4 linked regions of the Arabidopsis thaliana genome follow. The protein of the gene in region 2 binds, or shares a complex with, the protein of the main gene of each other region. Each region holds a gene or a part of one and is shown on either strand. Other genes may lie near its edges.

Evidence for each region.
Region 1: AT5G03220 (region 2) and AT3G01435 share a complex: the UniProt entries of both Arabidopsis thaliana proteins name them as parts of the mediator complex.
Region 3: AT5G03220 (region 2) and GCT share a complex: the UniProt entries of both Arabidopsis thaliana proteins name them as parts of the mediator complex.
Region 4: AT5G03220 (region 2) and AT2G10440 share a complex: the UniProt entries of both Arabidopsis thaliana proteins name them as parts of the mediator complex.

The regions. Positions count from the first base shown.
Region 1 is NC_003074.8:164,654-171,939, forward strand, and holds AT3G01435 (uncharacterized protein), read right to left. Parts: upstream 3,636-7,286; 5' UTR 3,453-3,635; intron 3,401-3,452; exon of another isoform or gene 3,378-3,400; 5' UTR 3,332-3,377; coding exon 3,065-3,331; intron 2,377-3,064; coding exon 2,200-2,376; 3' UTR 1,861-2,199; downstream 1-1,860. Other genes in the region: AT3G01430 (NHL domain protein), read right to left, coding at 942-1,484; PnsL3 (PsbQ-like 1), read left to right, coding at 3,825-4,101, 4,246-4,532, 4,656-4,754; AT3G01450 (ARM repeat superfamily protein), read right to left, coding at 5,250-5,537, 5,678-5,872, 5,967-6,099, 6,198-6,304, 6,469-6,726. UniProt on the Arabidopsis thaliana protein: Component of the Mediator complex, a coactivator involved in the regulated transcription of nearly all RNA polymerase II-dependent genes.
Region 2 is NC_003076.8:763,770-770,810, forward strand, and holds AT5G03220 (Mediator complex, subunit Med7), read right to left. Parts: upstream 5,149-7,041; 5' UTR 4,994-5,148; intron 4,822-4,993; 5' UTR 4,816-4,821; coding exon 4,681-4,815; intron 4,600-4,680; coding exon 4,530-4,599; intron 4,366-4,529; coding exon 4,199-4,365; intron 4,112-4,198; coding exon 4,038-4,111; intron 3,909-4,037; coding exon 3,848-3,908; 3' UTR 3,666-3,847; downstream 1-3,665. Other genes in the region: AT5G03230 (senescence regulator (Protein of unknown function, DUF584)), read left to right, coding at 5,867-6,367. UniProt on the Arabidopsis thaliana protein: Component of the Mediator complex, a coactivator involved in the regulated transcription of nearly all RNA polymerase II-dependent genes.
Region 3 is NC_003070.9:20,633,749-20,641,750, forward strand, and holds the start of GCT (RNA polymerase II transcription mediator), read left to right. Parts: upstream 1-3,631; 5' UTR 3,632-3,845; coding exon 3,846-3,869; intron 3,870-3,950; coding exon 3,951-4,024; intron 4,025-4,117; coding exon 4,118-4,257; intron 4,258-4,343; coding exon 4,344-4,430; intron 4,431-4,591; coding exon 4,592-4,679; intron 4,680-4,768; coding exon 4,769-4,846; intron 4,847-5,093; coding exon 5,094-5,171; intron 5,172-5,260; coding exon 5,261-5,340; intron 5,341-5,593; coding exon of another isoform or gene 5,594-5,648; intron 5,649-5,744; coding exon of another isoform or gene 5,745-5,779; coding exon 5,780-5,858; intron 5,859-5,967; coding exon 5,968-6,294; intron 6,295-6,535; coding exon 6,536-6,595; intron 6,596-6,839; coding exon 6,840-7,074; intron 7,075-7,240; coding exon 7,241-7,289; intron 7,290-7,369; coding exon 7,370-7,515; intron 7,516-7,755; coding exon 7,756-8,002. Other genes in the region: AAE18 (acyl-activating enzyme 18), read left to right, coding at 1-110, 193-443, 535-736, 818-858, 954-1,082, 1,157-1,233, 1,312-1,532, 1,617-1,711 and 5 more. UniProt on the Arabidopsis thaliana protein: Component of the Mediator complex, a coactivator involved in the regulated transcription of nearly all RNA polymerase II-dependent genes.
Region 4 is NC_003071.7:4,011,851-4,021,688, forward strand, and holds AT2G10440 (mediator of RNA polymerase II transcription subunit), read right to left. Parts: upstream 6,197-9,838; coding exon 6,075-6,196; intron 5,738-6,074; coding exon of another isoform or gene 5,711-5,737; intron 5,576-5,710; coding exon 5,473-5,575; intron 5,387-5,472; coding exon of another isoform or gene 5,320-5,386; intron 5,223-5,319; coding exon of another isoform or gene 5,164-5,222; coding exon 5,051-5,163; intron 4,961-5,050; coding exon 4,836-4,960; intron 4,793-4,835; coding exon 4,400-4,792; intron 4,358-4,399; coding exon 4,263-4,357; intron 4,171-4,262; coding exon 4,096-4,170; intron 3,972-4,095; coding exon 3,000-3,971; intron 2,913-2,999; coding exon 2,598-2,912; intron 2,521-2,597; coding exon 2,356-2,520; intron 2,314-2,355; coding exon 2,195-2,313; intron 2,113-2,194; coding exon 1,902-2,112; downstream 1-1,901. Other genes in the region: AT2G10450 (14-3-3 family protein), read left to right, coding at 8,455-8,514, 8,656-8,748, 8,828-8,923. UniProt on the Arabidopsis thaliana protein: Component of the Mediator complex, a coactivator involved in the regulated transcription of nearly all RNA polymerase II-dependent genes.

The sequences.
Region 1 (7,286 bases), on a different chromosome or scaffold from region 2:
CGTTTCGGTCATGTCATGCATGTTTCCATGGACTAATTAATATGAAAAAATTGTAAACACCATATGGTCGCGCACACTAGATCTATCACAAGAACTATCAACATTACTTTTCAACCACCAAAAAATTATGATAGCCTACTGCCTTAAGCCTAACGCGATCCAACCAAACGCACCACTAAAAATCCAATTCAAAGACTTGAAACAGGTAAATTACATTCGAGCAATTCTACTCCTCCGAATCTACAAAAGTGGTGAAAGTGCTTGATGATGTCAGTGATTTCCAAATATATATAGAGTCCCTCGAAAAGGTAAACTTTTTCCAAATTCATGATAGGGTAAGATCAAATCAACTACAAGGAAACATACGTGGCAGAAAAAAAGTTCAAAAGAAAAGATAAGATTGTAGTTTGTTTGACAAAGAAATAAAGAGTCGCAAATATGGATGGTTACGGGTAACTACAAAAATCAGAGAAAAATTGATCATATATCATCATGAATTCCATAAAAGGAGAAAGAGGTGGCTACACAAGCGATCCTATAAAAAAACAGATCAACGAGTGATCCTTGTAGTTGTGGAACACTAATTCTTACACGATTTTCGCTAATCCAAATCCTGATAATCTTAGTGTTACACTAATTCTTACACGCTTTACCCTAATCCAAATCCTATGAACCTAATTCCTGATGGTTTGAAAATTTTTACTCCCTATGTTCCTAATTTTTTATTTTTTTCTAGAGTTTTGAAAAAAAAATTGTTTAATTATTTCTATATTTAAATTTTTTCTTGGATGAAAGGTGCTTTTCTTTGTAATTACATTGGTAATGACAGAATAATACTCAATAGTCAATACTAATTTATAAAAAAATATTGGAAGAAGAAACAAAATGCCATCTCATTTTGGTCTCACACACGACAACATAAAAAGTCGAGCGCGTGGCTTTCACTTGTTATCAATGTCGCTATCGAAATCAATTGAGCATTTAGTGGAAACCGGTAAGGAAGGCGCAGCGAATCTCATCGAGTAATCTCGGTACGGGAACTCGTCGTCAAAATGTCCGGTTTGATTTCCGTCATCGAAATTTAACGAGTAGCTCAACTGATCGTACCGGAATTTACCCTGATCCGATGACCGGTTAGGCATTGCACCACCTCCGCATCCTCCGCTGCTGTTTCCGACTCTCCCTCCTCCTCCTCCACAGCAGTTGCTGCGTCCGAACCGGCGGATATACGTCTTCCATCTAGGTCCAGCGACGAGCTCCGACCACTCCCTCATCCTCCGCCACCCTCGGATCCACCATCGCTCGTCGGGTTCGAGTTTGTCGACGGTCGTGATCCGTTGCCACCACACAGATCCGCCGCGAGTTGATGGCTGAGATGAGGCAAGGCAGGGCATGAGGAAACAACAACCTCGCTTCGCGAACAACGCCTCGTGCATATCGTCGGTGGCATCAACTTCAGCGATCGGCGGCGATTGATGACTCATTCTCAGAGAGAAACAGAAACGAAGGAAATATGGAATTTCGTCCTGATCTAGCTACTCTCTTTTGTCTCCTTAGATCGTCGTTCCTCTTCTCATCTCCAACTCTAAACCCTAATTTTCTCCCTCTACCCAAGAGATTTCTATCACCTTCTCCAATCAACGCGTCTCTTGAGCTGTAACTAAAACAGAAGAGCACAAAACGGCGTAACCGCCAACCCGGCAATATTGGTTCTCATTAACCCTTTTTAACCGCTTTGGTTTTATCACATCTAACCGGGAATTTCAGCTGTTGATGCTATTAATTTATTAAACCACATATGAATGAAGGGGTTCATATACGTAATTGACGTTAGCACATTTGGTTCCAAGTATTGATCGATACATTAAACCGCAATAAAATTGGTCCGTTTCTCTCTGGCCCAAAATTGGTTCGATTTCTCCATAAGCTGAAATTGATAACTCCCAGTGGATGTAATGTATCTAATATTCTTGGAACAGATTCATTGCAAGTGAATGTTCTAACCAAAATCACCTAATCTTTTTGCAAAATCTAATATAGTAAGTAGGATAATATCTTACTTTTGCAACAAGCCACTCATTCGTAAAAACCGGACATACTTTAATGGGATAACCTACAAGTCTACAACTCATCTGGAAACTATATCACAACCGATGGTTTAGTATAGTTCTTCAAGTAACCTTTTTATGAATACCAATATCAATCAGAAGAAGGATACCGGTCAGCAGTTTGTTTCAGATCTTCAAGCTGCGTGAGAACATATTCAAGCTTCTGGAAGCAGATCTCATTGGCTATTCTCGCGTTGTAATCGCATTTCTCAAAGGGACGGTACTCGCAAGCGCTTTTGATCTCTTCCCTTAGTGTCACTTGTATATCCTGCAAGTTTCACAAGAACTTCATCTTATTATGGATTGGCGATAACATTATAGCACATTTATGTACAGTCAAAGATCAACAAGTTCATGAACCAGACAATGAAGCTGATATCTTCAAACTTTATGATTATCTCTAGAAAAAAAGCAGAATCAAAAGCTTTTTACTTGTTCACAGAATGTAATGATCCCTAATCTAGACATGTGTCAAATGAGAGCCCAAATGTTCTTTAAACAGTGAGATTCCATCCAATATGAAAATATCAGCATCCATCACTCATAAACCTTAAGCCTAAGAATAAAGGATCAATGTCAAATCCTAAGAAACAGGAAAGGAATACAAACCTAGAGATTGTGATACATGAACCCATATGTTAACTAGTCACAGAAGAATCACAAAACGAGAAGCAGCGGCCATCTTGAAGACTAAAACCAAAATCAAAATTCTAAACAAAGCCCTTAACTTTGATCAGGAAATGTAATGAACCCTAATATAGACTTGTGTCAAATTAGCCCAAACGATCAACACTCGAGAAAAGATACCAATTCCCCAGAGAGATTGAGTCAGCAAGAACACTAATCTAGCTAGACTTGTGTCAAGTGATCCCCAATGTTCTTTGATCAGGTAGTTTATTAATACACTAATGCAAAAGAAATCAGAAAATATTTGAAGAAGAGATAGAGTAAGAAACCTTCATAGATTGCATAAACTCTCGGCAATGGCTGTTGACGAACTCTTTCTTGGGACCAGAAGGGCTCGCGAGTTCTTCCATCACTCCACCAGCTAGTTCCAAAACCTTAACAACTCTCTGCCCGGAAAACCAAAAATAAAAACACAAAAACACATTCACATCAAATCGTCCAATAAAATCTCTAAGGAAAGAGTGAGTTTTCCAAAATTTCACATTCTCAACATTCTGGAGTCGCTGCAACGAAGTGTTCTGCGTCTGCGGATCCATTGGACTCTCCACGATTTCTTTTAGACCAGAGAGAGAGAACTCCAAACTGAGATATATCACAATACCGTCAAATCCACTCATACACATACCCTAAATACTCAAATCGGAGCAGTGGGAGTACCTCAATCGAACACGGCGACGCGAGACAGTGAAGATGGCAGAGACGATGAAATAACACGGAGAATTTCGATTGGAAACGGCGTGCTTATGATCAGCAACGGAGGGAAGATTTTGGGGAATCGGCGACACTCGGCAATACAGATCGGTGAAGGAAAAAGCAAAGAAGATACAAGTTTTTTTTGTCACGTAAAACGGCACGAACTCTACTTTATCAATTCAGGAACAGCGAGTAGTTAAAATATTGAATTACGAAAACACCCCTTGGTTCAGATAAAATCTTTGTGATGGCCGCTTTTCTCATTTATAACGGATAAAAACCGTAAACAATACACAAGAACAGAGGCTGACACCTAAAGCTTACTCTCTAACTGCAATGGCTCACTTCATAGACCTCAACAGTCTCACCAACACTTTACCGTCTCTTCCGAAACTACCCGAGAGTCGTAAAACCGGGAAATCCAGCGGGTTTGCTTGCAGGAGAACTGAAGAATTTCAAGAACCGGATTCGGTACAGATCACAAGACGGATGACATTAGGATTTGCTGTCTCAATAGGTCTTACCGGAATTCTCGGCGAAAATAATGTTTCCTTGGCACAAGACAATGGGTTTTGGATTGATGGTCCTCTTCCAATTCCTCCTATTTACAACAGTAAGCGCCATTTTATATTCTTGATTGTTTTCTTTCTTCAAATGTTTGAACATTTTGAGCCATACAACTATTCAAGATGAGAATTCGATTTGGTAGAATCATTTGATTTCCGGTTTTGAATTCGTCCTCGATTTGAATATACAGATATCGTGAATGAGAAGACGGGAACGAGAACATTCATAAAGAAAGGAGTGTATGTAGCGGATATCGGGACGAAAGGAAGAATGTATAGAGTTAAAAAGAATGCTTTTGATCTCTTGGCAATGGAGGATTTGATCGGACCAGATACTTTAAACTATGTGAAAAAGTACTTGAGGCTTAAATCCACATTTTTGTTTTACGATTTCGACAATCTCATCTCTGCTGCTGCCTCTGAAGACAAGCAACCTCTCACTGATTTAGCCAACAGATTGTTCGACAATTTCGAAAAGGTAAGTGTACTAATGAAGTCCTGGTTCGTTCAAACCGAAGAGACTATTGTTTTTTTAAAATTTCTTCTCTTTTCTGATATATCCTATATGTTTATTTGTTGTTTTCTTGGTGTTTCGACACAGCTTGAAGATGCAGCTAAGACGAAGAACTTAGCAGAGACGGAATCGTGTTATAAAGATACAAAGTTTCTTCTTCAAGAGGTAATGACCAGAATGGCATGATCCTGGTTCGGTTTATACCGGTTTACTTGCTATTGATGATCCTACATGGTTGATAACTCTGTGGTCATAAATTGTAATCTTTGCGGAAAAATATTGAGATCTAGTAATCAAAAAAAAAAAATGTAATGTATAGACCAAAATATGATCAAATTTATAACGAATTGGATTTTAATTTTTCAATCAAAGATACAGAAAGAAGAGTATATGCACTAAATGTTTAATATTGAAATCTTAGTTTTAAGAAAACATTTGGCCAAAAAAAAAAAAAGTTTTAAGAAAACCAATGTAATATAGACTAAAACATGATATATATCAAATAAACCGACTAACTTTTTGCCTAAAACTAACGGTTGAGTCGTTGAGATTTATCTTACCACATCGACATATTCACACACAAAATAAAGAAACAAACCCATAAACCAAAGATAGAGAAACAGTGGTCGTACAACGTTTACTCACAGAGGCTTACAATATCAAACTGAGGGCTTGTGACTGTCATGAACCCGCAACAAGACCCTCTCGAGCCACACCTGCGACATTGGTGACACGTATCACAGCCTGTGCACTAAGAGGTGAGAGGTTTGATTGGCAGAAGATTTGCCAAGTGACTGGCTCTGGATGCTCCTCCTTCGGTTCGACATTAGTAGTTTTCTTGTACACTGTCTGAAGTTCCAGTAAGACTGCCCGTGCAGCCTCCCGAGATTCTGGGAGTTGGTCACTGAGCTGAGACGATGCTGCTTGGACTAGTTTCTCAATTCCATATTCTCTAATGCCTTCAATGCCCTAATGATTACACAGCCAAAGAAAGGTGATGTTGGTGGGAACATGGACTGGATCCAAATTGGTTGTCATGGTGATGACATGACAAATCCAAAACAAAAGAACAAGACTGGTTTTATGATATCGAGTGCAGTTTGATTTACCAGTCGGGGAACACATCGGGAGAAGCACGTGGATGCTTTTGCGCGGATCCGAGGATTCCTATTCTTGAGAAAAGGTTGAAGCTTTGGCAACAGCAAGGCAGGAGAAACATGTGCAGTCATTGCTACTAATGCTTTTTCTGCTGCTTCACAAACAAATCGCTTGTCTTGGGAAGATTTAAGGAGGAGTTGAGTAAGCTGTAAGAAGGGAATTCGGAGTTACTGTTATAAGAACACACAAATGTCCGCTATTTGAGGAGAATTCCAAGAGTATCTGCAAAAGATGATTTACCAAGAGATCCAATTGATCGATTGTATGGTCATTATATGAGCTGAAGATGTCAGCAGATGTCATACATGCGGTTTTACTTACAGCACTTCTTGGGTTCTTCAGTGATTTCACGATAAACAGGATCACTTTCTCCCTGTAAGAGCTGACAGCGTGAGACTAGAAAATTCTCTCGACGTGTAACTCGCTCTACTAAAACTGATCATAATCACGAGTAGAAAGAAAATGACTTACAGCATATGCAGCATTTCTTCCTTGTGGAATATGGAAAGACGACGAATGGTATTAAGAGCATCACAGACCAAAACCCAATCCTTGGAGTCTAGCTCGGTTACAAGTGACTGGAATAATAAAGAAAGCAGTTCCAGAATGGTATTAGGTAAACAACTTACTTCCAATGTCCAAATTCTAAACAGATGAATATAATTGCAAATTTGCAAGGCAGCATTACAAATGAGAATTCACAGTAAAGCATAGGATACTAGCAGGAAAAAACAATTGATACCTTGAGAACTGCATCAACTTGGGTTACATTGTTCAAGTCTTTGGATTCTATATACTCAATTTCTACGATAACTCTCTCTGCCTCAGGTTTCTCAATCTCATCGCCTTTAGGATGATTGTGATCAAAGGGGACAGAGTTTTGTGGTGGTTTATCTTCAGCTGTTCCATTCATTTTGCCAACCAAAAGCTTTGTTTTATAGTCGATATTCCTCTCAGAGACAGGAAGATTCTTCAAATCTTTTAAAGCCTTGGCAGCCATGCGTACCTGAAAAGTAACAAAGAAGACGCCATTATAAGTACAAACAACATAAGTTTAGCATCTGCGATTACAAAACCAAAGATAAGATTATAGATGAATTTTCGACCTCTAGCTTAGTATTAAGTATTCCCAATGAAACCCTTTCAAAGTAGAAATGGTAAGATAAACACATTACTATGAGAGTTCAACAGCAATAACATTAAAGAGCAGAGATCTATCTACATTCCCAAATCTTATTTCAAACAATTACGAAATTTACTCAAAACAAAAGCAAAAAACCTCGATCCCACTCAAGGACTCTAAAAAGTTCAAACAAATCCTCGCAGTCCGAAATCTAACTCCGGCGCCGTAAACTACTGCAACCGCGAAAGATCGAAAACGCAGAAGAATAGAAAAAGTAGCGGCGAGTCAAGCGGTATCGATGACTACTAACTTGAAGAGTAAATAGTGAAGATTATTTGACTCGCGTACCTCTATAAATTCGAAATGCCAGAGAAAATTCAGGGAGAGAAAGAGTCGATGAAGACGACGAAATTGATTTCCGGCCAACAGTTCGCAAC
Region 2 (7,041 bases):
TTAGGCCCAAGTTAAACTATCATGGGCTCATTCGTAAACTTAGTTCTAATGGGCTCTCAACATCAGATCTTAATATTTATAGAGAGCATGAGGTCAAATGCGTAGTTCCGTATATGAGAATTATGAAACTGAACCCATAAGCATTTTAATCACGCTGAGGAAAGTAGCCACTTCTCGTTTAACTAATACGGTAATACCTCATTCTGCCTGTTTTATTGATTTGTTTGGATATTTTGGTGCAATTCGATTAAAAATGTACCTAGAAAACAAAATTAAAATTGAGAAAATAAAAAACGTACCAATTGATAGAAAAAAAGATTATTGTACGCTGAAAAAGTAGAAAGAACTAGATAATTTTTAGTGATGACAAAAACGAAAATCTTCTTTGTGAACTTAAATCGCTGGAAAACATGCCATATGCAGAGTTAATCAAAACATTATTAGCAATCAATTGATATATGTATATATAAATATAAGATGCCTTAGCTTTTTCTTATATATATAATTAGGTTAATTAGAAAATAAGTCAATGGCCTGAAAAGGATTGGATAAGATAAGGATATTTGAAAGGTTGCTTTCATTCTTCTTGCAATTTCCCCCTTATTTTAGTTTTCTTAGCTTATAGAATTCATCCCTCATTTTCCGTCATTTGATATTATAACATAAGATGCATGAGGACGACAAAAATAGAAATAATAAGTGAATAGGTAGGTATACCATGTACTTGTCACTAGACGATTCGATATTTTACATAGAGATTAATCTATTTCTAGGGAATTATTGGCACCTTATGATCGAACATGTCACCTAAAAAAAGTGAGCTTATCACATCGCATAAGTTTTGCAAAAATATTCTTAAACTAATTTTTTAATGTATGTCAGAATAATGTTTCATCAATCGAGAATATGGATTAGAGATATAATTCACTAGCAAAATTTTACAAACGGATTCTTTTTTCTTTTTTTTTTGATAACCGAAATTGATATATGCTTGTATAGGGTGGTCGAAGCTAAGGTCTACCATAGTTAATTGCTAATTTAATTATTATTAGTTGTAAAACACACAAGATGACATCATTATTTGATCTAACACAATAAAAATAGAATTAGGCAAATGAAAATCGGTTTAGTAAACGACAAATCAACAATGTCATGTGTTTTGTTTTCTGATTTTGGTTCAATTTAATTATTTCAAAATAATTTTCTTGATATCCAAAGATCCATTTTTAATTCTTTTATGAGAGAGGTTAGAGCTTTTACCCTCAAAGGCCTCGAAGCTATTTTTTATTTTTATTTTTTTTTGTAATGTGTCATTTTTAGGAGTCCATTTTTCGAACATAACATAAGCATAGATACAATACGGAGCTGATCATTTGACATAATATGAAATTTTCCAACAGTTATTTGTTCGGTGATAAAACAATAATTGAAATCCCAACAAGTAGAAGATATGCAACTAACAAGAAAGATTACGATCATACGGCTGAACAATGAGAATTTGATGTTTCTTAATCACGTAGGATTCTATGCATAATTAGAATATATAGGAATATTATTAAAGACAAGAGAAGATTTAAGAAGCTCGATTATTATCTTACTACATGCATTATTATTATTTGTTTTTTTTCTTGGTACTTGTGTTTTGTTATGTATCTCAAAGCTCCAATTATGTAGAGGTCATCGACCAATAATTAATCAATTGACCACACTACTCTATATTTTAAATAGTAATTGGTTCAACAGGCAAAGACGCTCTTTTATTTGACGATTATTTTCTAGTATAATAAAATCTCACAAACGTCATAATTTAGTTGTAAGGAAAGCAATAGTATAAAAGAAGTATAGGTAGTGTGAGTGCGACAAAGGAAATAAAACACATACAAGACTTGAAACTATTTATGAATTATGACTTCTTTGTTTTAGTAAGCTAAAGTGATACATAAATATAACATATTATATGTGGATATGTACAACAACAAATCTACAATGAATGTCTACGTGCATGGTGGATACACATCTTCTATACATGCACGCGGCATATATGATAATTCATGCAAAATTAAAATAAAGTATCGTTATAGGAGTTATTAGGCCATCTCCATTGGTAAGATACTTTAAAAGTTTCTAAAAAAAAAAAATATAATAATATTTTATTATGATTTAGTTTCTGTCCAATTATAAACACACATATACACATAGTCTCTCAATCATTACTCGAAAGTTTTTCTGCAGAGAAACTATTCTCAATCTCTCTTCTATCTCTCTCCTACTCTATTATTATTTTATATTTTTTAGTTAATAAGAAACTATGTGACAGACTACTAATGGAGATGCTCTTATTATCTAGTTGTGAATTTTGTAGAATTGACATATGTATTATACACAACTAGTTATGAATCTAGATTTTTTAAAAGATTTTATAAGGATTAAATCCACCTATTTTCATTGCTATATATTAACCTACAATTATATCTATAATGCATAATGCATTGGTTATTTATGTTTATTGTTTACAATAATGGCAATGAACGTCTATACAAAATTACAAAGAATATATCTAAACAAAAAGTGAATGTCCTTTTATATATGACCCTAGCTATAAAATTTATTCGAGTCCCCCACATGTTTTGTTATGTTCAGATTATTGTCCAACAGATTTACCAATTATAATATGTTTCCTGTTTCTACAATAATATCATCTACTTGTAATTTGTTGGCTATTGCATTTTCATTTTGTCCATCATGCATTTGGTAAAATATTAGTAGTATTTCGCAAGATGTACCAAGCGTCGTTAATATCTGGTCTCTTTTGTCCATTTTCGTCTTTCAGCATCAAGAGAATGAAAAAATTGGAGAGCTGAGTGACGTGTCGCGATACTGACGCCTGAAATATCCGTAATTTTCAAATTGAGATGAGGTCCAGTGGGCCAACTTATGTTGACAAGTGATATCTCACCTATTATTGGCCCACGTAATCCTTTTATTATCAGGTGTATTTTAAATTATATGTAATTATTTTGTATTATTATAATTTAAAGAAAGTCATATCAAACAGCTGAACACTAAATAAATAAATTATAATTCTTTTTTAAACACTATGTTTTTGTTTTATCTTGATATATGGTTGACAAAAATACAAGATTGATAAAGAAAATGAGTCATTGTGGAAACAAAAAATGATTCCACAATTTGCTATTTATTTTGATAGAAACTATTTAAGTAAGTGAACAAGGCATGTCCCTATTTAGTCCACGTGAAGTAATCGGACGTGTCAATTTTGTTTACTGAATAGAGGTGTAATAATCCGACGTGTCATTCATCTTTGGACTATCCAATAATGTGTGCACAGAGTTGGGCCATGTTCCTCTGTGGACAATCCCACTAGTAATCCTCATACACAATAGAGTCATATTATTGAAATTAACTGCAATGAGTTTTTAGATTGGATAAAACTAAAAGAAATGAAACTGGCTAATTGCAATTGGATAAACTGAACATTTATTTTTAATTTGTATTTCTATGAGTTTCTAAAACATCGGTTCAGGTGTCAATCAACTGCTTAAATCAAATTCTTTATTCGAGATATTGACAGATCCATTCACATCAAATGTATGTTCGATATATCATAGTTCCGTTTCGGTTGTATCACCGGTTTATTCTTTCTCTTTTCCTTCAAAAGAAAACCCGGTTAATTATGGTCTAATTAATACAATCCTCATACTATTCAGTCTTAGTTGATTGTCAAATTAACTTTGTTTTAGTGTTAACAAATTATAATAAGCTTCGAAGGTCAATAACAATAACAGACAGATTATTAATTGCTAATTTACACACACAAAAAAAGACTCTATTGACCATCTAAAGTGAGGTAAGCATCCTTTAGAAGTCGCTGTGCTTCTTCTCTTCTTCTGCGCACAACCAAAAACATCAAACGGACCCATAAGAACTACCAACAAAGTTTCTGAAAAATCTTTGAACAGATGATGGATTGATATAAGCACACCATTAAGTACAGTATACAAACAAAATATGCACACCTTTTAATGTCTTCCACAGCTTGTTTCCTCTGTTGAATTTGAAGTTCCATAATGTGAATAAGCGTTGCTCTCGCCTGGACATAAGAGAAGATGATCAAAACAGTGAAAACAAAAACTGATGAAATCATGTTGTAGTTAAGCGAAGATGAGATCTTCTTTACTTGGTGAGGCCTCAAGGAATTGAGAAGGTGATGCAAATTCTTGAAGATAGAAGAAATTTCACCAATCCTCTTCGCATATTGAGAAGGTCTGTCAACAAGAACATCAGCAAGCTCCAATATATGTAACTGTAGTTCTCTATTCAGTGACCTGAGTTCATTCTTGTAATCTACACACAAAGATATTTGAAACTTTCTTCAACGAAACAAAGAGGCAAATGAACTCATGTAATAAGTTTGATTCCAATTAAGGGAAGAACCAAAAACCGTACTCTAGAAAGCAAATAACAATTGGGTTTTGAGTTTGATTCACAAAGCTAAAACAATGACATACCAAGATTAGAATCTTTGGGATAAAGTTGAGGCACTCCTTGTTCTTCTAAGCTTGGAAGAACATCTTCAGTCTACGAACCAAAAAAAATGAAAACTACTAAAACACATAAAGATGAAGATTTTAAAGAGGGGGAAATGTGGAGGAGACTCACAGTATAGTTGCCTCCAAAACAGACGTAGGTGCCTTCAATCGGAGGAGGAGGTTCAGGAGCAGAATTAGGGTTTTCTGAGTAATCCTTGTAGAGTCTGTAATATGGTGGAGGAGGCGGATACGTAGCTGTAGCCATTATTCCCTACAGATCCAAATAAAAAACTAAGCAAAATCAGTAACAGATTCCTAAAATTAAGGTTTCTAATCGATGCAACAAACGATTCAATCCAAAATCTAAGACTTTACTCCAACGATTCTGGATAAAATTTGCAACCATGGTACAAAGAGAAATTAGGGTTAACAAAAACACGAACCTATTGGGAATGCAGAATCGGAAATTATAACCAGACGAGAATAAGATCGAAGAAGCTTTTGATTTTGCTTTGGAGAAGACGGCGTAGAGCAAGAGGTCAATAATGACGAAACGAGTTTTGATTTTCTCGTAAATTTTCGGTTACGTGTTCGGACGGTTCGTATAAGTCTGGTTTCTTTTGGTTTAGTTTCGGTTTAATTAAAACAATGGCTTTTCAGTTTAATTCGATTTCTGCTGTTTGGATGTGATTAATCACCCCACTAATGATGTTATTCTTACGTTTTTACATTTAAAAAATAGTAAATATTTTTACTTTATAATAAATAAATATATTTTTTGTGTATTCTAGATTTTTTTGTCAATTTAAATAGAAATTAACAAATATTTTAATAACAAAAAAAAATTAAAACAGCTAAAAAAATCATATCTAACAACATTAAATCTTAAGATAACTTAAATTAAATCAAAGACGAAGATAAAAATTCCATTAACATCATCATTTTGATCATAAACTCATAAAGTTTTTACTATTTAAGAAAAAGAAAAACAAAGGACGAGTGAAACAAAAAAAGAGAGCTCACGATAAGAACGTGAGACTTGCCACACCTTATAAACTTTTTTTTTTATCTTCTTTTGTACTTTTGTCGTTTACTGTGTAAGTCATAAACTCACATAAGTTTAACCCAATGAGAGAGCTTATCTCTTTACTACATTTCTCTATAAAAATGATCATCTCAACACATTTCTCCTTCAATCTCAAATTTCACAAAAACCCTCTCAGATTTTTTCTACAAGCTGATCAAAACCCAGAATCCAGTTTTCATAAAAACATCATCTTTCTTTTATTCTTCTTTACACGCTCTGTTTTTCATCAATGGCGTCAAGGAAGCTTTTTTTTGTCAAACCTAAATATATCTATCCAGAACCAAAACCAGAGATGTCCGATGAGAATGTCTTTGAATTCGACGAATCTGATATTCATAACTTAGGCGATCATCAATTGCCGAATTCATTCGACGCGAAAAGATCGATATCAATCTCTCGGTTACGGAGAAAACCGACGAAAACCGGAGATTCAGGTAACCGGGAGATTACAAAGACCGGTTCGCTTCCGGTTAATATCCCCGATTGGTCTAAGATCTTGAAGAGTGAGTATAGAGGTCATGCGATACCTGACGATGACAGTGACGACGATGACGAGGATGATGACGATAGCAACGACGGTGGGAGACGGATGATTCCGCCGCACGAGTATTTGGCAAGACGGAGAGGATCGTCGTTCACGGTGCACGAAGGAATCGGTGGGACGGCGAAAGGAAGAGATCTAAGGCGATTGAGGAACGCGATTTGGGAGAAGATTGGGTTTCAGGATTAGTAATATAATAAGTATGTAATTAATTATAACTCTCTATAGGTAAACTTTTAATTACTTAGAGATCTTAAGTAAGGACTTGGTGTTTTTTTATTGGAGGGGTTTAGAGGATCGTTATAGTTTCGGTCCGAAGGAGAATTTTTCCGATTTCCTTTTGGCGTTATTTTTGTTTTTTGGAGTTTTTGATCATCGTCTATTTTTCTTTTTCTTTTTTGGATATGATCAATAATATTTTATATTTTTGTGTGTTTCAAATATGTTGAATTTTGGTTGTTGTGTGGTTACTTCAATTTTTACAGAAATCTACAGAGAAATAGGCAGTGGCGGAACTAGAACTTGCAGCTCTAGGGGTCAAAATGTATAAAGGAATGATCATAGGGGTCAATTTATGTATTTCATTGGTGTTAATTTAAAAACTGTAGCAAAAAAATAACTAAATTTCATAATTCCATGGGGGTCATATGAAGAAGATAAACGAATGCTAAGATCTATTGAACTCGGTAGAACTAAGGAAATTTGAATATAACAAAGCTGGATTGAGTTTAATTTCAAATATGTTAATTTTGGATCAATAATAATCCAAAAACCAACCAACTAACGAAAACCGGACTAGTCACTACAACAGTTCAAACTAAATTCTTCACAAAACATCTCTTCAAAGTTTGAAAACCTTAATA
Region 3 (8,002 bases), on a different chromosome or scaffold from region 2:
ATCTGGGGAAGCTGATGGAATATCACGGACCAAGACTTCTTGGTCCTTCATACAAGAACCCTCTTGAAAGTTTTGAACTTTTCCGGAGATTCTCAGTTGAACACCCTGAAGTAAGCATCAACGTTGAATGTTGTCGAGCAAAAGAATCTTTGTCGCAGCTCTGGTTTGGTCTAATGTAAACATCATTTTCAGGTTTATTGGTCATTTGTTATCGATGAGCTTTCACTTGTGTTTCACACTCCTCCGAGGTGTATCCTTAACAAATCAAAACCTGAAGGGACTTGGCTCCCTGATGCAGTTCTTAATATCGCTGAGTGTTGTCTGATGCCTTCAAGCCATCCCAAAAAGGAGGATGATAGTGTGGCTGTTGTATGGCGTAATGAAGGGTTTGATGACTCTCCAGTCAATAGAATGACCATTAAAGAGCTTCGGGAGCAAGTAATGTATGTAAGATGAAACTCTTTATCAGTCATTCTGTTGTGTGATCTCATTATTAAGCTTCCAGTGGTGGTCTTGATACATTTACTTGAAAAGGTTGGTGGCAAATGCGATAAGTGGAAGTTTTGAAAAGGGTGACACAATTGCAATCGATATGCCAATGACAGTTGATGCAGTGATTATATATCTCGCAATCATATTAGCTGGTTGCATTGTTGTCTCCATCGCAGACAGCTTTGCAGCTAAAGAAATAGCAACAAGGTTGAAAATTTCGAAGGCAAAAGGCATATTCACTCAGGTTTGTGACACACCCTGACTCACATCTTTTCGCCTTGTATCTATCCCGTACCATGTGAAATATCTCTTATTGCGTTTTCAGGATTATATACTCAGAGGAGGTCGAAGGTTTCCTTTATACAGGTGACAAAATTGATCTTTCTGTGGCTGATTTTGCAACTCAATGAATGAACAACATAATAATTATATCTAAACTTGTCTCTTTTTTTTTCCTGTAGTCGAGTGGTTGAAGCTGCTCCATCTAAGGTCATTGTCCTCCCGGCTTCAGGTACTGAATTGCATGTTCAGTTAAGAGAACAGGATGTATCATGGATGGATTTTCTTTCCAACGCCAAACCCCATTCTAGGTAAATTGTTTACATCTCTACACTTGCAATCACTCAGAGAGTGTAGATAAGACATGCTCCAATTTTGCTTGCAGTGGAGAGAACTACTATCGTCCGATTTATCTACCTGTAGAGTCTGTGATTAACATTCTCTTCTCATCTGGAACTACAGGTAAAAATAATGTGATCATCAAATTGTAATAGATTTTGTTTAGATGCATCTAATGATTAGTTCTTTTTTCTTAACCAGGTGAGCCGAAAGCTATACCGTGGACACAACTATCACCAATTCGTAGTGCTTGTGATGGATGGGCTCATCTTGATGTCCAAGTGGGTCACACATATTGTTGGCCTACAAATCTTGGATGGGTAATGGGACCAACTCTTATGTTCTCCTGCTTTCTAACTGGTGCAACTCTCGCTCTCTACAGCGGGTCTCCCCTTGGCCGCGGTTTTGGAAAGTTTGTTCAGGCAAGACATCTCCATTGTTGTCTCCTTTTCAATTTTAGTAAGGTTCGATAAATCCTCACTTATTTGTGCTTGATATTACTTCAGGATGCTGGAGTTACAGTTCTTGGTACTGTTCCAAGCTTGGTGAAAACTTGGAAGAGAACAAACTGTATGGAAGGGCTTAATTGGACAAAGATTAAGTAAGGAGCAACAAACCTTGTTTTGTTTTCGGGTTTATACGAGAAATTTTAACTTAGAAGCTGTTGTGTTTTGTTAGGTTTTTCGCCACTACAGGAGAAGCTTCCAATGTTGACGATGTTCTCTGGCTTTCTTCTAAAGCTGATTACAAACCTGTGATCGAATGCTGTGGAGGCACGGAACTTGCTTCGTCATACATCATAGGAAGCCCTCTTCAACCGCAGGCTTTTGGAGCGTTTAGCACACCATCCATGACAACTAGAATCATCATCTTCGATGAAAATGGCGTCCCATATGTGACAAACTGAAACTTTAGACATTTGGAGTATTTTCTTAGAATATCCAGAGATTGATGTAGACTGGTTTTTGCAGCCGGATGATCAACCATGTACTGGAGAAGTCGGTTTGTTCCCCCAGCACCTTGGGGCCACGGATAGACTTCTGAATGCAAATCACGACGAGGTTTACTTCAAGGGAATGCCCATGTATAAGGAAACAGTGAGTAGTTTTAGAACTTCTATATTTACATCTAAACAAAATTGCAAACTTACGTCAGTTAAACGATTCCTCTGTTCTGTTGCGTTCTGCAGCGACTTAGAAGACACGGTGACATTGTGAAGCGAACTGTTGGAGGATATTACAATGTTCAAGGTAGAGCTGATGATACCATGAACCTTGGAGGCATTAAGGTACTACATACATTGTATGTCTATATACCCAACTTCGATTAGAGTTGGAACTTTTCTCAAGTTTTCATCTTTTGTTTATCTGTTATAACGCAGACGAGTTCTATTGAGATCGAACGTGTGTGTGATCAAGCTGATGAGTGCATCTCTGAGACAGCTGCAGTCACCTTAACACCACCTAACGGTGGTCCAGAGTTGCTGGTCATATTCGCAGTCTTGAAAGAAGGGTTCAAGCAACAGAGTGGAGAAGAGCTAAAGATGAAATTTTCAAGAACCATTCAAAAAGATCTTAATCCTCTCTTCAAGGTAATCAATATCTTTGATGAGTTTTTCTATAAATTCAAAGTTATTATAAGATTTTTTGTGTGCTTAAAAATGGATTTTGCAAAAATATTGCAGGTGAGTTTTGTGAAGATTGTGCCGGAGTTTCCAAGAACAGCTTCTAGCAAGCTACTGAGAAGAGTCTTGAGAGATCAGATTAAGCAAGAACTACTATCCTTACGAAGTCGAATATAAAGCCTTGATCTTAAGTTTAACTAGAATAAAATAAGATCTGCTGAGTAGTAGTTGATCTACACATGATTGGGTACTGCTCGGTCCAAATAAGAAAACCGATTAAATCAAATCTACCGGTCCTTGAATTCTCTAGCCTGATTCACATTTACATGACTAAACACTTTGACTTTGTTATGTTTGTGTTTGTGTTTGGTGTATATATTTCATATCAGATTATAATCTTAATTTTCCTCAAGATTATCTTTTGTTTAAATTTGTAAAAATATTTCGGACGATACTCATACATCCCATAAGGCTTTGAGACATCTGAATAGTATCACCACGAATGACCTATGGAACCAGAAGACAACTAGCCGCACCCAACGATACAAAGATAGCGTTAAGATCATTCGAGGTCTAGCTATATCGTGGTATACAAAATCTAGAAAATATAAAGTAAAACCATAGCATTGTTTGGTTCATTTGATTGATGCAAGTCAAACAAACTCGAAAGAATGAGATCTTAATACCAAAACTTCAAAAACACTTGATATTAAACACCTTATTTGGAGGAAACTCTTTTATGATGCTTGTGGTTGGCGGTTTTTTTTTTTGAACCAGAGTGTTGTGAAAATAATGAATTGGGCCTGACTAAAACAAATTGGGCCACAGAAAAAAAAAGAATTAGTAAGAGCAACAAAAAAAAAAGAACCCTAAAGAGCGCGTTTGGATCTGGTTTTATGAAAACCACGAGAGATTTCGTGTTGAGATGATTATGATGTATTGAAGAGTTTTGATCAAAAGAGAGATATAAACCTCGCAACATCAAGAGAAGATCGAGCTAGAAATTGACAACGTCTTCCAATTCCGAGCGCTTCAAGACGATGATTTTGGGGTTATAGCCTATAATTTGAAGAAAAAAAAGGATTGAACTTGTTGTATCTATCCCCAAGTGATGTGGACTAATGTTTTCAGAATTGTAAGTCTTATTCTATCATCTTTTTCCCATTGTGTGTGAAAATTGACTTATTGGTAATACATGATGATTTTTCTTCTACAGGGTGGTCTACATAATGTTTCTTGGTTTCAGTTTCTTCCAAGTGAAACTGAGCTGAATCCTGGCTTTGATAGAAGGTTAAAGCTTTAAGCTTTTTCAATGGGTTGTTTTAGTTTTTCCTTATTGACATTGTACTAATTAGTCTGGTCACTCTGGAGTTTTTTTTTCAGTTCAAGAGCTGAGCAGAATGAAGTTGCAACATATCTTGTACTTTCCTCTCATCTACGGTTGCAGAAGGAAGGGTTTCTTACCACTTGGACCAATTCTTTTGTTGGACCTTGGGATCCATCTCAAGGTTTATACAACCCTGGTAATGCTAAATCTCAATCTGGTACTTTTAAATTTTGTAACTTTATTTACAGTTGTATCTAACCATCATTCCTCGCTGCTGCTCAGATGAAAAGATTAAGCTTTGGCTTTTTCTACCTGGGCGTCATTCATCAATATCTGATAAAGCTCAGGCTGCTGTGTCAAAGCTTAGAGGTATATTCTCCTTATGATTTATTTTCTTCATCGTATTTTGTCGCCTCAATAGATTCAAACATATTGTCTCTATTCTGATTATGACTGTTTAGTGAACATGCCTGTGGTCTATGGTTATCTTGGTATACTTGTCCTTACTTTTCTTTTTCTCCTGTTGAAAGTTGTTGCGTCAGGAATTTGGGTAGCACCTGGGGACTCTGAAGAGATATCAGTTGCCTTTTCACAGTCTTTACGTAATTGCATCGAAAGGTTAGTTTTTTATTATCTGCAGACATAATGGTTGGATTAAGGAAATAATGGATTAGAGTATCATATTAACTTGTTTGATATCGCCACAGAGCATTATCTGGAATTTCCTACATGAGATTTGGAGATGTGTTTTCAAAATTCAGCCCTCAAAGCGAAGAATATTTGAGGTATCTGCAACCTCTTACCAATATAAGCGAGACCATGCGTTATAATCTCTGATGGTTTATTAGCAAATATATCGTCTTTTTTCTCTATGGCTTTTCGATTATGTATTATCCTATAGCTTTCATTAAATAGGGTCTGTGAGACCTAGGTTTCCTGAGTGTAATTCTTAGAATCCAAAGAATTCTATGATTAGGTCTGTGGCTCGCTAATGCTCTGTGGCTCGCTAATGCTCTGTGGATATTTATGTAGGAGGGGACAGCCTACTGTTGAATTCATCTTTGCTGCTACCGAAGAGGCAGTTTTTGTCCATGTCATTATATCTGCCAAGTCCGTAAAGCTTTTTGTTATACTGTTTCAGTTATGGTTTAGTGCTTCACATAGTTATTGAAACTAACTATAATATTTTATGCACGAAGGAATGTCCGCACACTTTCAAGTGGCGATGCTGAAAGAATGTTAAGGAGTTCTTTGAAAAACTCCAGTTATAGGCTTCCAGGTTAGTTATTTTTCCATCATCATTTGGATTGATAAATTATCCTACTTGTCTACGATTTTGATGGAACTAGTTCTAGATGTTTGTTGACCTCTTCTTGCTTTGTACTGTTAGAATACTGTATAGATTGAGAGCATTTTGAACTCAATTTTCAATGCATCCACTCCAAAAAGAAACCTAGTGTAGTCTAGTGCTACTGCTACCTAGCTTCATCAAGCAAAGATTTAACACCTCATTTTTTTGCATGTCACAAGAGCTTTTCGTAAATGTTTGGGATTGGCCAAGAGTGAGGATAATAGATTATGCTACATGTAATTCTATGAAGCCAAACTTTTTGAATTGATACCTGAAATGAAATCCGCCTTCTACACATGCTTAAAGAAAGATAAGAGCTTTTTATTTGATAGAAACACTTCTCACAGGCCTATGTTATTCCCACCAGTTATTGTTTCTCCTCATGGAATGCGGGGCAGCCTTACTGGATTCTGTCCCAATGACCTTGTCAAGCAAGTCTACTTCAGGTACATTTCATACCTTTGCTTTCGAATGCCAAGTCAACATTTTTTGTGAGTGCGTAGCCGTTAATCTGATTAATCCAATTTTCTCAACTAATACTTTTTTCTCACACAGTTCTGGAAACTTAAAAACTTCGACTGGATATGTTGGTCTCCCTTCTCATATTGGTCGTGGGTCCCGTCTGATAAATGGCAATCATTGCTACGTGGAAGTTACACTTGGTTGCTGCCAAAATAGAAATGACAACACAAGTCAAGCTAATTCGACCTTTGCAGTTAACTTGCCCCATAACCAGTGTCCTGAACCTTCAGTTGGGAGTAAAGATCACCGTAAAGGACAATCAGATCTTTCATCAGTTTGTGAAAAAAAGTTCATCTATCCAGCTGAGGCAGTGCTTGTACCAATCTTACAGTCGGCATTTGCGAAATTTTCTTTGAAAAGGTAAATTGACTAGGTGAGGTGGTTATTTAGAATTCATTGAGTACTTAACGGTAAGATCCAGATTGGCTATACATAAAATTTATTTCGTTTCTGTTGAATTCCATGTATGTATTAAAACAAATTGACTCTGTGTGATCGTAGTGGAAGTTTTAGTAATTGTTTCAGACCCATGTTAAATAGATGTAATAGTTGTGATCTTTCCTCAGCTTGGAGCTGATGCAAGGTGAAATCATACTTGCAGATTTTGGCTTCAAAACTGGATAGGCCCGTCACTAGCAGGCTCATCTTTGTTTATGCACTGGTGAGTCTTTTTCATCTATCTCGTCGACATTTGAAGATCAAAAGAAATCCACAAAACAGAGGTCTTGAAATGCCCAAACTGTTCTGAGAAACCGAATGTTTTGTAATCTTCATTATTTGAAGCACCATAGGAGTGAGAGCTGTGGCATTTCCGAGTTTTGTTCCAATGTTATACGTAACGATTTTGTTTTTCATTATAACAGTCTGTCCATGATCCCTGTATATGTGAACTTTATTTTATGCAGGGCTGGTGATTTTGACTGCCTTGGTGCGTCTGAAAATAAGAGTGATGGGTTTTATGAAAAAAATGGTTACAATAGCAGTGGTAGTAGCCGTAATAGCAGCATTAGTTCAACAAGTAGCGCTTCCAGCGGGAGCGGCTGGAGGATGACGTCAAGAACTGGTGATCTTGACGCTGATGCAGATTCTTTGACGTGTAGGCAATCTGGTCTTACTTGTAATGATGATCGCCTAAAAATGGTACGACTTTTATCTATGGAAGGGATGGAGTTTGCATGGTACTGATGAGGAAATTGAATTGTCGATTGTAGCACTAACATGCTTAATCAACATCATATAATGTAGTTTTCCTTATTTTATAATAATTCACGAAGCTAACCAATAAGTAACATAACATTCTTTACAGGGTTCCAAGCGGCCGCGAACAGGGATGGCAGAGTCATTCGGTCAAGTAGGTACTGTCACTGATGCACCTATTCAAGAAGCATATATGTCAGGATTTGTTTCCACTAAAACTAATAAACTGGTGTTCCAGGCATTGAAAATGATCAAATTGGTTGGGATTGGGATGCTGATGATGATGATGATGACAGAGAAGTTGGCATGGATATCAAGGCACTTCTTTCAGAGTTTGGAGACTTTGGTGACTTCTTTGAGAACGATGCTTTACCTTTCGGGGAGGTAATTTTCCCGCTTCTGTTACTGATCATAATAATAATCAAGAAACTATTATCTGCATTCCCTATGCTGGTGAATGATCTGTAGGTCCTGTATTAGCTCAGATATCTAGACTGTATCTCAGAGATGTTTGGTAGGAAGGGTTTTCTGCTTCCCTTTCCCCATTTCTGTCATGCCTTTTATTTTGATTCACTCATATTGCTTTCGGTGTCAATTCTTATGTCATTTATTATGTTTGTGTAGCCACCGGGAACTGCAGAGTCGCATGTGCTCGTTTTTCCTCCAGATTCTGCTGATGTAGGTTCCAGTCCCGTGGATATGATGGATGTATCAGACCAAATCGTTTTGCCTGTTGGGTTTTCCTCTTTTGAGAGCTTTAATCCTGTTCCCCCAATCATTGATGAGTGCCTTATTAAAAGTCAAGAAGTTCTCCACAGCAGTATCACTTCAGTTCCTTCAAATCAAATGTCGATCTCTTCGACTGGTGAGT
Region 4 (9,838 bases), on a different chromosome or scaffold from region 2:
AAGAGTGCCTTAAGGCCATGATGAGACTTGGGCAGAATGACTTGGGAGAGATGATGGGAGACGGTTCTTCAGAGTTTTTAAAAAGTTTCGAGAGGGTTCTTCACTTAGAGGTGAGAGTTATCTTCCCCAGTAAGAGAACTGTATGCTGCTAAGCCATAGAGCATGACATACAGGCTGGTTCAAATGCTAAAAAAGGTTCCAAGAGAGTTCAACGAGGTTAAGATATTGTTAGAAGCTGGACAGAAGGTTTAACCATACCGTGAGAAGAGAGAATACGGTTGTTGGAGTCTTCTTCCAGAGCTTCAAGGTTGAGAAACATGCTCTAGCGGGAGGGCCGAAGTGAGGTTTGAGTCCTCTGGAGTCATGTTGAGTTGATAGTCCAACCGCCCATGCCTGGTGGCATGGTAAGAGAAGTTTCCTCGGCGAGAAAGAGCAAAGAAAGGTCACCGGAGTTGTAAAATTGCCTTGTATAGGAAGTAAAAGTGGGTGAGATCTGGTTTTTCAAAAACTCTTTACTGCTTTGGGGTCACTCGGGAAGAGTGCCTAAGAGAGAAATCTCGCTAGAGTATTTTTGTTTTCTTCTTTCGTTGATGTATGGTTTTCTCTGGTTATAAATGGTTAACAGTATAGTTAACCGAATAAACCCAAAAATATGGGTTAATAAATGTTGAAGTATCAATTCAGGGAGTTTAGATAGAGATCTTTTGATTCATGGAGAAATAGATATAAAACTTTTTTTAGAAAAAGAGAAAAAATGTACAGACCTTCTAAAGACTATAAAGTTGTGCTATTATTTGGGATGCGAGAAAAAAAAATAGGAATCTACAGCATGATTGTTTCAATTTTGAGGCTATAGCTTTTTATTTTGCTTTATAAATCTCTTATCATGTCATGTAAATCAATAGGATACTTTCGAGAGCTTTTTTTTTTTTTCTTTTTTTTTTCTCTTACCCTTCTCGTTTCTTTAGAAACGATCATGCTCTAATCCAAATCGGATATTAATTTCAGTTTTTTTTTTTTTCTGTTTAATTAGGTTTATAAATTTTGCTTCGACGATATCAATAATTTTGATTTCGGACAAGACTTTTGATACCACTTTTATCAAGTTCTCTCTTGCCTTGCGAGTTTAGATCTCCATCTATTGGTGATTGTTGATGTCTTTGGTTTCTTCACAAATCCTCTATGTTCCCACCAATTAGTTCGACGAGTAATATCTATACCACTTCTTTATGCACACACATGAACAAAGATCCGGCCACATCAATATGGGTGTCGTCAGAGGTGGAGCTTCCCCGACGATAATGATACTTGAAGAATTTTTAAGCGACTTCCATCACTTGATCCGAAAGAATATCGACGATTTTTGGACATGGGTTCGAGATCGACAGAAGGAAAGACGATTCTCAACATTTTGGTGAATTCTAGCGGTTTCCCGCGAATTCAACAGCGGTGCTTGACGTCTCGGCCCGTGTCATAGGGCAAAACACTTCATCAACACGTTTCATCAGCAAAATCTTTATGAGTGGATGTTTAAATTACTAAGGATGATTTAGTTTTATAGGCTTGGCTTCATTTTCTGTAATCCTTTTTTAAAACTTATATTCCAACCTTTTGGGCTCTATAAATGAAACATGTAATAAGAAAAAACAATAAAATACTTTAAAATCTTTTTTAAAAAAAAGGCTTTGTGCCTAAATATTTCAAGATAATTTATTATACTATCGGTTTTGAAACAATTATAATTTCTTGTTAAAATATATACAATAAGAAGACATGAGCCACACCATACAAATAAATGTTACTTCTATCTCAAAGGAAATAAAAAAAAACCTAACTTGGGCTATAAGGCTTCCCACCTAAAAACTATCTTGTACGGTGAGTGAGAAAGGAAGTATTAGTCCTCATGAAGCTCTTAGAACCGTTTCCCAAGCACCATACTTGGAGCTGAAAGTGCCTCCACCATGTCTCTCTGCGTACTCAACCATTGTCGCTCTCGCACAATCATTCCACGTTTGAGCTATTCCTTTCGAAAACCCTGGTTCTGAAAATTCCTTCATGGACAAACTGAACCTTGATCTGGTTCTCGCGGATAGATCCTCATACTTGTGTACACTGAAACATGCAGATATAAATCCTTAAGATCATATATATTTACTCCAATCGTTGTTACTTGATTTCTAAGAAAGATTCATACCTAGTGTCAAAGGAGATTTCCTCGAGAACTATCGGAGAACTATACGGATAATCCATAGGAAATAGTAAGCGTAAAGGTTGAATCTGTGCCTGCATCAAACATTTAGAGACATAAAAAATCTGAGCAGAGTGAGGAAAAAGAAGAAGTTTGAAGTAACTTACAATTTTTCCAGACTTGTAATGATCTTTGAATGTGGCACTGAGAGCCACAGGAGCATAAGTACAAGTGACGATTGTTCCTAAAGAATCTTCATCACATATCTCTACCACTGTCTCTACAAGTCTCCCATTTGTTTCTTTGATTTCTTGCAAAAGGGCATAACCAGGCTACAAGATTGAAAAAATGGATTTATTTCGATGTTTCATTTGTTTTCGTAGTTCGATACCAATAGAGTAGATTTTACCGCAATATTGTTAACTTTCAAGCCAGATGATGTTGTGGAAACAACTTCAGATTCAAGGCTACTCAACTGTTCATAACTATCAATTTGTGATGACATATCTGGCGGCACAATGTTGATTGATCGCTTCATTCTCTTAGACAGATTTGTTTCTTCGTGTGTGGTAAAGTTTCTTGTCCTCTCACTCAAATCCTCGCCTAAACCAGCTCTAGATCCTCCACTAGAAGGGAACGATCCTCCAATCATGTCAACCATACTAATCACCGAGCTAATCTCACTTACAGATTCTGCCAATGATTTTGGTGATGCTGCTTGAAACTAGAAAGCCACACACATTAAAAATTAGGTCAGTAAATAGGAGAAGGTAAAGAAAGTAAACTTAGATAAGCTATAGAGTTTACTTACCGCTTTTATAAGTCGATCAATAGGCCGCTCTGTGATTGGCTCGGGCGGAGGAACAAATAACAGAGGAGTTTCTTGTGTGCCAAGTTTACTAGAAGAATCTAAAGTTGAGTTTATTTCATCAACACCAGAAACTGGAGACTCAACAGATATAGGCATTTCAGAATCTCCAGGAACTGGAGATGGAGCTGGAGCAACAAAAGCCGAACCACTAGAGTTCAATGGGGTTCCGGTTTTGTTAATCGTCGCAGGAAGAATATGCTGGTCAACTAACTGAGGAGAAGAGTGGTTCTGTATCTGAGAGGATGAAACGTTAGACTCTTGCTTTGGAACCTGGCGCTGACTCGATGAGACTTGTTGCTCAAGCAACCTGGCTTTAATGTTGACCCTCTCCCTCATCCTCACATCATTCATCTCATTTGTCTGCATTTGATGTTGATGATTCCCTTGTTGTGGTTGTTGTTGTTGCATTTGTCGGTGATGGAATCGCTTCTGCTTCTGCAACGACTGAACCGAACTGATATTTGTGTTTACGGCCCGAGGATTTTGTTTAACAGAAGGTAACATGACATTTCCTGAGGAAGCCATAATGATGTTCTCGTCTCTTGGATCCAACTTAGGCCTTATTTGCAACAAAGACGAGGCCTCATTTTGGCTACTTGGCATCAACCGTGATCTCCTTTGCTCCTTATAAAGAGACTGTGACACATGGACTTGAGGACTTTGGGTTTGCATTGCTGTTTGAGAAGGAGGAAATTGTCCTTGTTGTTGCTGCGTTGGCCTCAAAACCATGGTCTGACTCTTGGTAAATTTCAATATGTGGTACTCATATTGACTAAACTTGTCTCTATGTTTCTCTGATACACTGCTCCTATGAACATTTAAGAAAAACATAAGGTGTTCCATTGACAATTTTCCCGCCTTTAGCTTTTCAATCCACTGAGCTTGCATCGGTTGCGGCGGAAGAGATTCAGTCTGGAAACATTAGGTTTATTAAACCAAAAACAACACAAAGTTTTAGAAAAAAAAATGATTAAGAAAACCATTAGAACAAATTCTTGTTCCACAAGCAAAACAATTAGGTTATAAAATAAAGTACCTCCCGCAATTTTTCCGCAACTCTTTGGTGCATTAAACTGAGAACAGGTAAACACATCTCTTTCAGTTTTTTTATCTGCAGGACATATCAGAATGGGAATCAATTGAAAACAAAATCAAACCCTAATTGTGATGTTAAGAAGTGAAGAGCAAAGCAAGTGAAGATACCTTCTGATAGGTCTCCTCCTGCCAGTTTCCGGCATTGACATTTACCGTCTTTCCCGTAGAATCTTGAGATGCTACAATGATATTCATTATTAGAACTAAAAACATTATCACAAGAGTTAGTAAGAGAGGAAACATACTAGATGGATTTGCTCTCTCTAATTGTTGTGGCTGGTTCTGTTGATCTGTTATGTTTTGTGTTTGGCGCAACGAACTTGCTGCTTGAAATTGATTGGTATTGTTTTGTACAAAATCCAAATGTTTCTGTAAGTTTCTGTTCTGAGGATCCTGCTGCATGGGGTATTGTTGTCGGTATTGTTGTGACATCATTGGTTGAGATTGTCCTACTTGTTGACCTCTAGTCATACTTTGGAGGTTATTCTTCTGTTGAGACATTGCATGTAAGGTAACATTATTGTTCTGCTGAGACGAGGATACCTGAAAAGCTCCTTGTTGGTCTCTATTGTTTGGTCGTGATGTTGGAAGATTCGTCAGTTGATTAATGAGTTGCTCTTGTTCTTGTCGTTTCTGTTCTTGAGACGGCAGAACCATCTGTTGTTGATGACTAAAACTGACCCGTTGTATCGAAAACTGATTTCTGGTCAGTGATTGAGTGTTTTGTTAGCTTGATTGAGGAAAAGGCTGTTGAATAGGTTGTTTCAACAAACTTTGCGGATGATGTTGCGGCTGCGGTGACCGAGCTTGTTGTTGCATGTGCGAAGGTCGTAAATTACCATGGCGGATTTGATTCATTTGAGGCTGTTGCTGCTGAGGAAGAAGTTGTTGCCTACCATGTATCTGTCTTTGAGAACCGGGAACGGTTATAGGGACCTGACTTGGCAAAGCAGATGACACAGAGATTGCTCTGTGTGTTTTGCTGTAACCATTGTTGGCTCGTTGTAGTCTGCATATATGGCAACAAGGCGGGAAGAGATTGAGCTTGATTCACAACTACTTGAGAAGCTGATGTTTAGATAAACACATAGAAAAAAAAAGTTAGTTAGTGATTTCTTTGTTATTAAGCTAAAATAGTATAATTATGAAACCAAAAACTTATTACCTAGAACTCTAGTGTAAGTTCTCTGTATATAATGCAGTGTTTCACTGAGTTTCCTAAGGTAATCATTCTGAAACATAGCAAGGGGACAATGAGTAAGATATCAAATTCAGATTCTGAAGTTAATAGATGGAGAAACAATTTGTAGTTTAACACCTTATCGGTTGCTATGCTATAAAAATTTTCTTCAAATTTGGAAGCGATGTCGTTAATCTTATATTCTTCATGTGCATGAAACTTTTCCTTGAACTTTTCAACTCTACACATACATGAGAACAAAATATCAGTGACTATGAAGAATTTGGTTATAACTGATATTCAAGAGGAAGTGATACCATTTTAATTGCACTAAAAATACAAAACAGAGAAAATAATCCGTAGTTAATATTCGAACTTACGATAATCGTTTAGCGAACAAACACTGAAACAATTATACATATGTGCCAAGCAATTGTACATAGAAGCGAGAGTAAAACAAGATTCTCCTAGTGAGGAAGAGCCTAAATGCAGGTAATGAGGTTAAAAGAATATGCAAAACTTAAAGTACAAAAGGTTGAAGTTAGGTTTTGTCAACTATGATAAACATTTATGCACAACTCTTATGCTTTAACTGTTGCAATCTTTATCATGCGCAAACTACAAATATCACATCGAAAGCATGACCAAGAAAACCTTACTCTCTTTCATGAATGTTAATAATCAAATAAGAACAATGAGTCCAACAAAAGAAACATGAAACTCTTGAAAGAATGGCTTACATTTTTGAAAGAACCTTTTGCCGTAATTCAGGCTCATGTTGTGATCTCCAATCAATACGATTATTCGCAGCATCACGGTTTCCGCCTTGTTCATTAGGCTTCCAGTTAGTATTTCCCTCCATTAAGTTATGCGTCCTAACGGGGAGATGTATGTATAGGCTTTGACCAAGAACCGCCTCGCTAAACCTTAACAAACAAACAAAAGAATGATTAGAGAAATTACTCAACATGGTAACACAAAACAGATAAATATATAGTACAAGAAAACGACAAAAGAGTATTCAAAAATCAATATGCATATCACGCTAACAACCTATCGCATAATATCACACAACACGTATTATAATATTTGTTGGTGCAGGAATTAGCACCTCCGACAATACTAATTTAAACCGAGGAATAATGTGAATAAAATCGAGAATTCGATTGAACCGGGGTATCCCGGTTAGCCTGTTAATGGGCCTAAGTCATGAGATCGCCCGAAGACTTAAGTCGACAATCAAGATCGCCATAACCAACTTCTTAGGTCGTGTAAAGGGAAAACTTCCATTTAAGAGAAGAGGATCTCATGAAGAATAGAAGTAATGAAGATTTAAACCTAAGATAATTAGAAGTTTATCATATTTTGGTATATTCGACCTATTGTATAAATAGAGGGGTCAAACCCCCCATTGAGATCATCTTTAACCTAATACAAGAGACTACTATTACAGAGCAAACCCTAGCTTTTTGTTTAAGCAACCTAGTTCTTTTCCTTTGATTATTTGTGAGCTAAGAGAGGAGTGAATTTGTCTAAATCCCTTAGTACAAATTCATTGTTTGATTACTGAATCAACAATATTTAATATATAATCCTAACATTTTAACAATCAGCACCCAATGTCTAATCTTATACAAATGAAATTCAGAAATACAAAAGTAAAGGTGATACTATGTTTCCACAGATCCTACCCTCACCTTGGCAACTCGGTTGGATTTTAAGAAATAGGACTAGCAACAATGGATCCGGCTCAACAACGATCTCAAACTACAACAATTTAGATTAATCAATCAAGATTATATTCCCTTAATAATTTGTTATTTAATCTAATAACTAAACCAAGTCTAATAATTTAATATTAGTTGCTTAACACGTAATTGACTACGCCACATCCATTTACGTGACCAAATACTCCCCGGTTTAATAATTAAACCAACGCCACAATTCAAATCACGTACATGTCAATGCTACTTCTGGTTTGACAATTAACCCAACGCTTTCTAATAAGCCAATAACTGACTATATCGTCTTCTTCACTAACACAACCCAACTGACGCCATAACCGATCAACTCAAAAGGTTCCTTAATAATCAAGTTTCAATTCATGGCCGTAACTATACGTAATCCCTTGGTTTAGGTTGGTTCAATAATTAAACAACACAACACCTTAACATGAATACGAGAATAAGGTTTCACCGTTATCTCACTCTGCAACGAAGAAGTAGAGGATTCGGTATCACAGACCCAAACAAAGCACCAATGATAGATCTAGATTCCGGTGAAGAAGGAGGACGAAGAAGGCTAATAGTGGCTCAGATGGTGATGATTAGGGTTGGATGTTACGTGACGATAACTTCACGTCACCACTTAACACGATCGGGACCACAACCACAAACTACAACGATGGTGAACTCGATAGTGGAGGATGATGGTGACTTGAGAGTTGAGATCAAATTTCTATGATTTTGATAAGGTTAACATTGCGTGCTCGTAACATAAGCGGCGAGAGGAAGAAGACATTATATACATACGTACACACTTCTCACGTTTAGGTCTTGTTTTTAATGAAGATGGGCTTAATGAGAAATTGGGTCTTAGCTTTACCTCCTTTCGCCGTCTCCAGTCACGCCGAGACAGCTCCCTTTCATGCTTCTTCCGCCAGAATCCATCGCCGGATACATCTCGAAGATTGAATCAGAGTATTAAGGTAATTCACGACTATGAATCTTCTGGATTAGCGTCAGTGTATTGTTTATATCGATGTTTGCGACTATTTTTGGTTTAAGTTACTGGATTGGTGGTTTTTGAAGAAGCATCAATGTTTATAGGTTTCAGTTGTTTCAAGAACCATTGGATTCATTACTAGTAGTCTATGGTTTCATGATCAAGTAATTGTTGAAACATCGTAAATATCAAGTTTGTAGTAATTGTTCGAACTATCTATGTGAATTGTAGTTTTTTCTGTGTAGTTTACCTTGAGATTATCCACTGCTCTATACCTTGAAATTGAAATAGGCTTCACACTGAAGTTATAAGGACTTGGGGTACAAGAGTCGTTGGTTTGACTCTCCTTGTGATTGGTGCTATGAGAATCAAAGAAGCTTCTGAGATCCCATAACCATGTGTTGTTACTTTGCCACTAGGATTGTTTACGGCCTGCAACCGGAGGCTCTGATGATGGTACATATTTTGTCACCTGAAGACGTTACTAGTAATTATGTTCTTTGTGCTGCTTTTATTCATTAATTGCTTAAACTAAATGTTGTCGTTGCAAGATCTTTGTTCTTGTATGTTGGACAATGCCAATGTGCTATCGCTGAGTTGGATGCATTGGGTGATGAATTATACAAGGACAGTACCCTGATTATGAAGATTCTTAGAGACAATCTCACTTTCTGGACTTCAGATATGACTGTAAGCATCAACACAATATACATTGATCATTGTTCACTAAGTTCTGTAATTGACATGATTATAACTCTTTGGTCAATAGGACGAAGCAGGAGATGAGATCAAGGAGGCAGAACCAAAGGTCTTGTGCAAATGTCATTCTTGTTTCACTGTCTTGTCGGAACCAAAGCATAGTTAATTCATATTCTAGTACTCTCTTGATTAATAATAATTGGAAATGTATTATAGCGAGTAAAAGTAAACATGTGCAACCAAGAGTTGTTTCTTTTTGTGAATATGTTTTGTAAAACCATGTATTGTAACCAAACAAAAAGGATGTATGTATTGTTTTACAAAATTTGAATTTTTTTCTTAGAGAACCCCATTAGTGGTTTTAACCATTGGAGGACAAAAAACTTCAGAGCTCTTATGCAAGTTTTTAAGATTGAAAAAAGCTAATTTTATTCTTATAAAATGCAGAGAACCCATCATGGGGTTGTAACCATTGGAGATTCTCTTACAAATCATATATAGTCTTTTCTTTATTAAAATCGAATCACTATAAGCTTTTAGGAAACGTCAAATTGTCACTAATACTCGGCCCATTGTTGGGAATAAATCTGTATAAGTTTAGAATTGGGCTTGGCAATAGTCAAACGGCAATTCCAATTGTCCTTTTTTTCCTCTCGCACGAGTGTATTGATTTTTTTTTAACATATGAATTTATTATTTACTAGATATTGATAATTTCTTTAAAAAGTTAATTTTTTTAATTAATATTATTTATATATGAATAACATATTCAAAAGATACATTTTAGGTCTATAATTTTATTAAATAAAAAATTGATTTTTTGTCTTTAAAATGATTTATATATATAGGCTATTTTTTTTTAATGTATGATACACCTTGTGACGATTTTTATAACTAAAAGTTATATTTAATTTTAAATTGTACTTGTTGTGTTAATATTATTTATTTTGTTTAGTGTTTACAATTGTATAATTATATTTTGATAGTTAATTCTAGGGTTTCACCCATAGTATACCATTATATAATAATGGCGATCCAGACATGTCCCATGTAACCATGTCCAATGAAATTAATCATCATT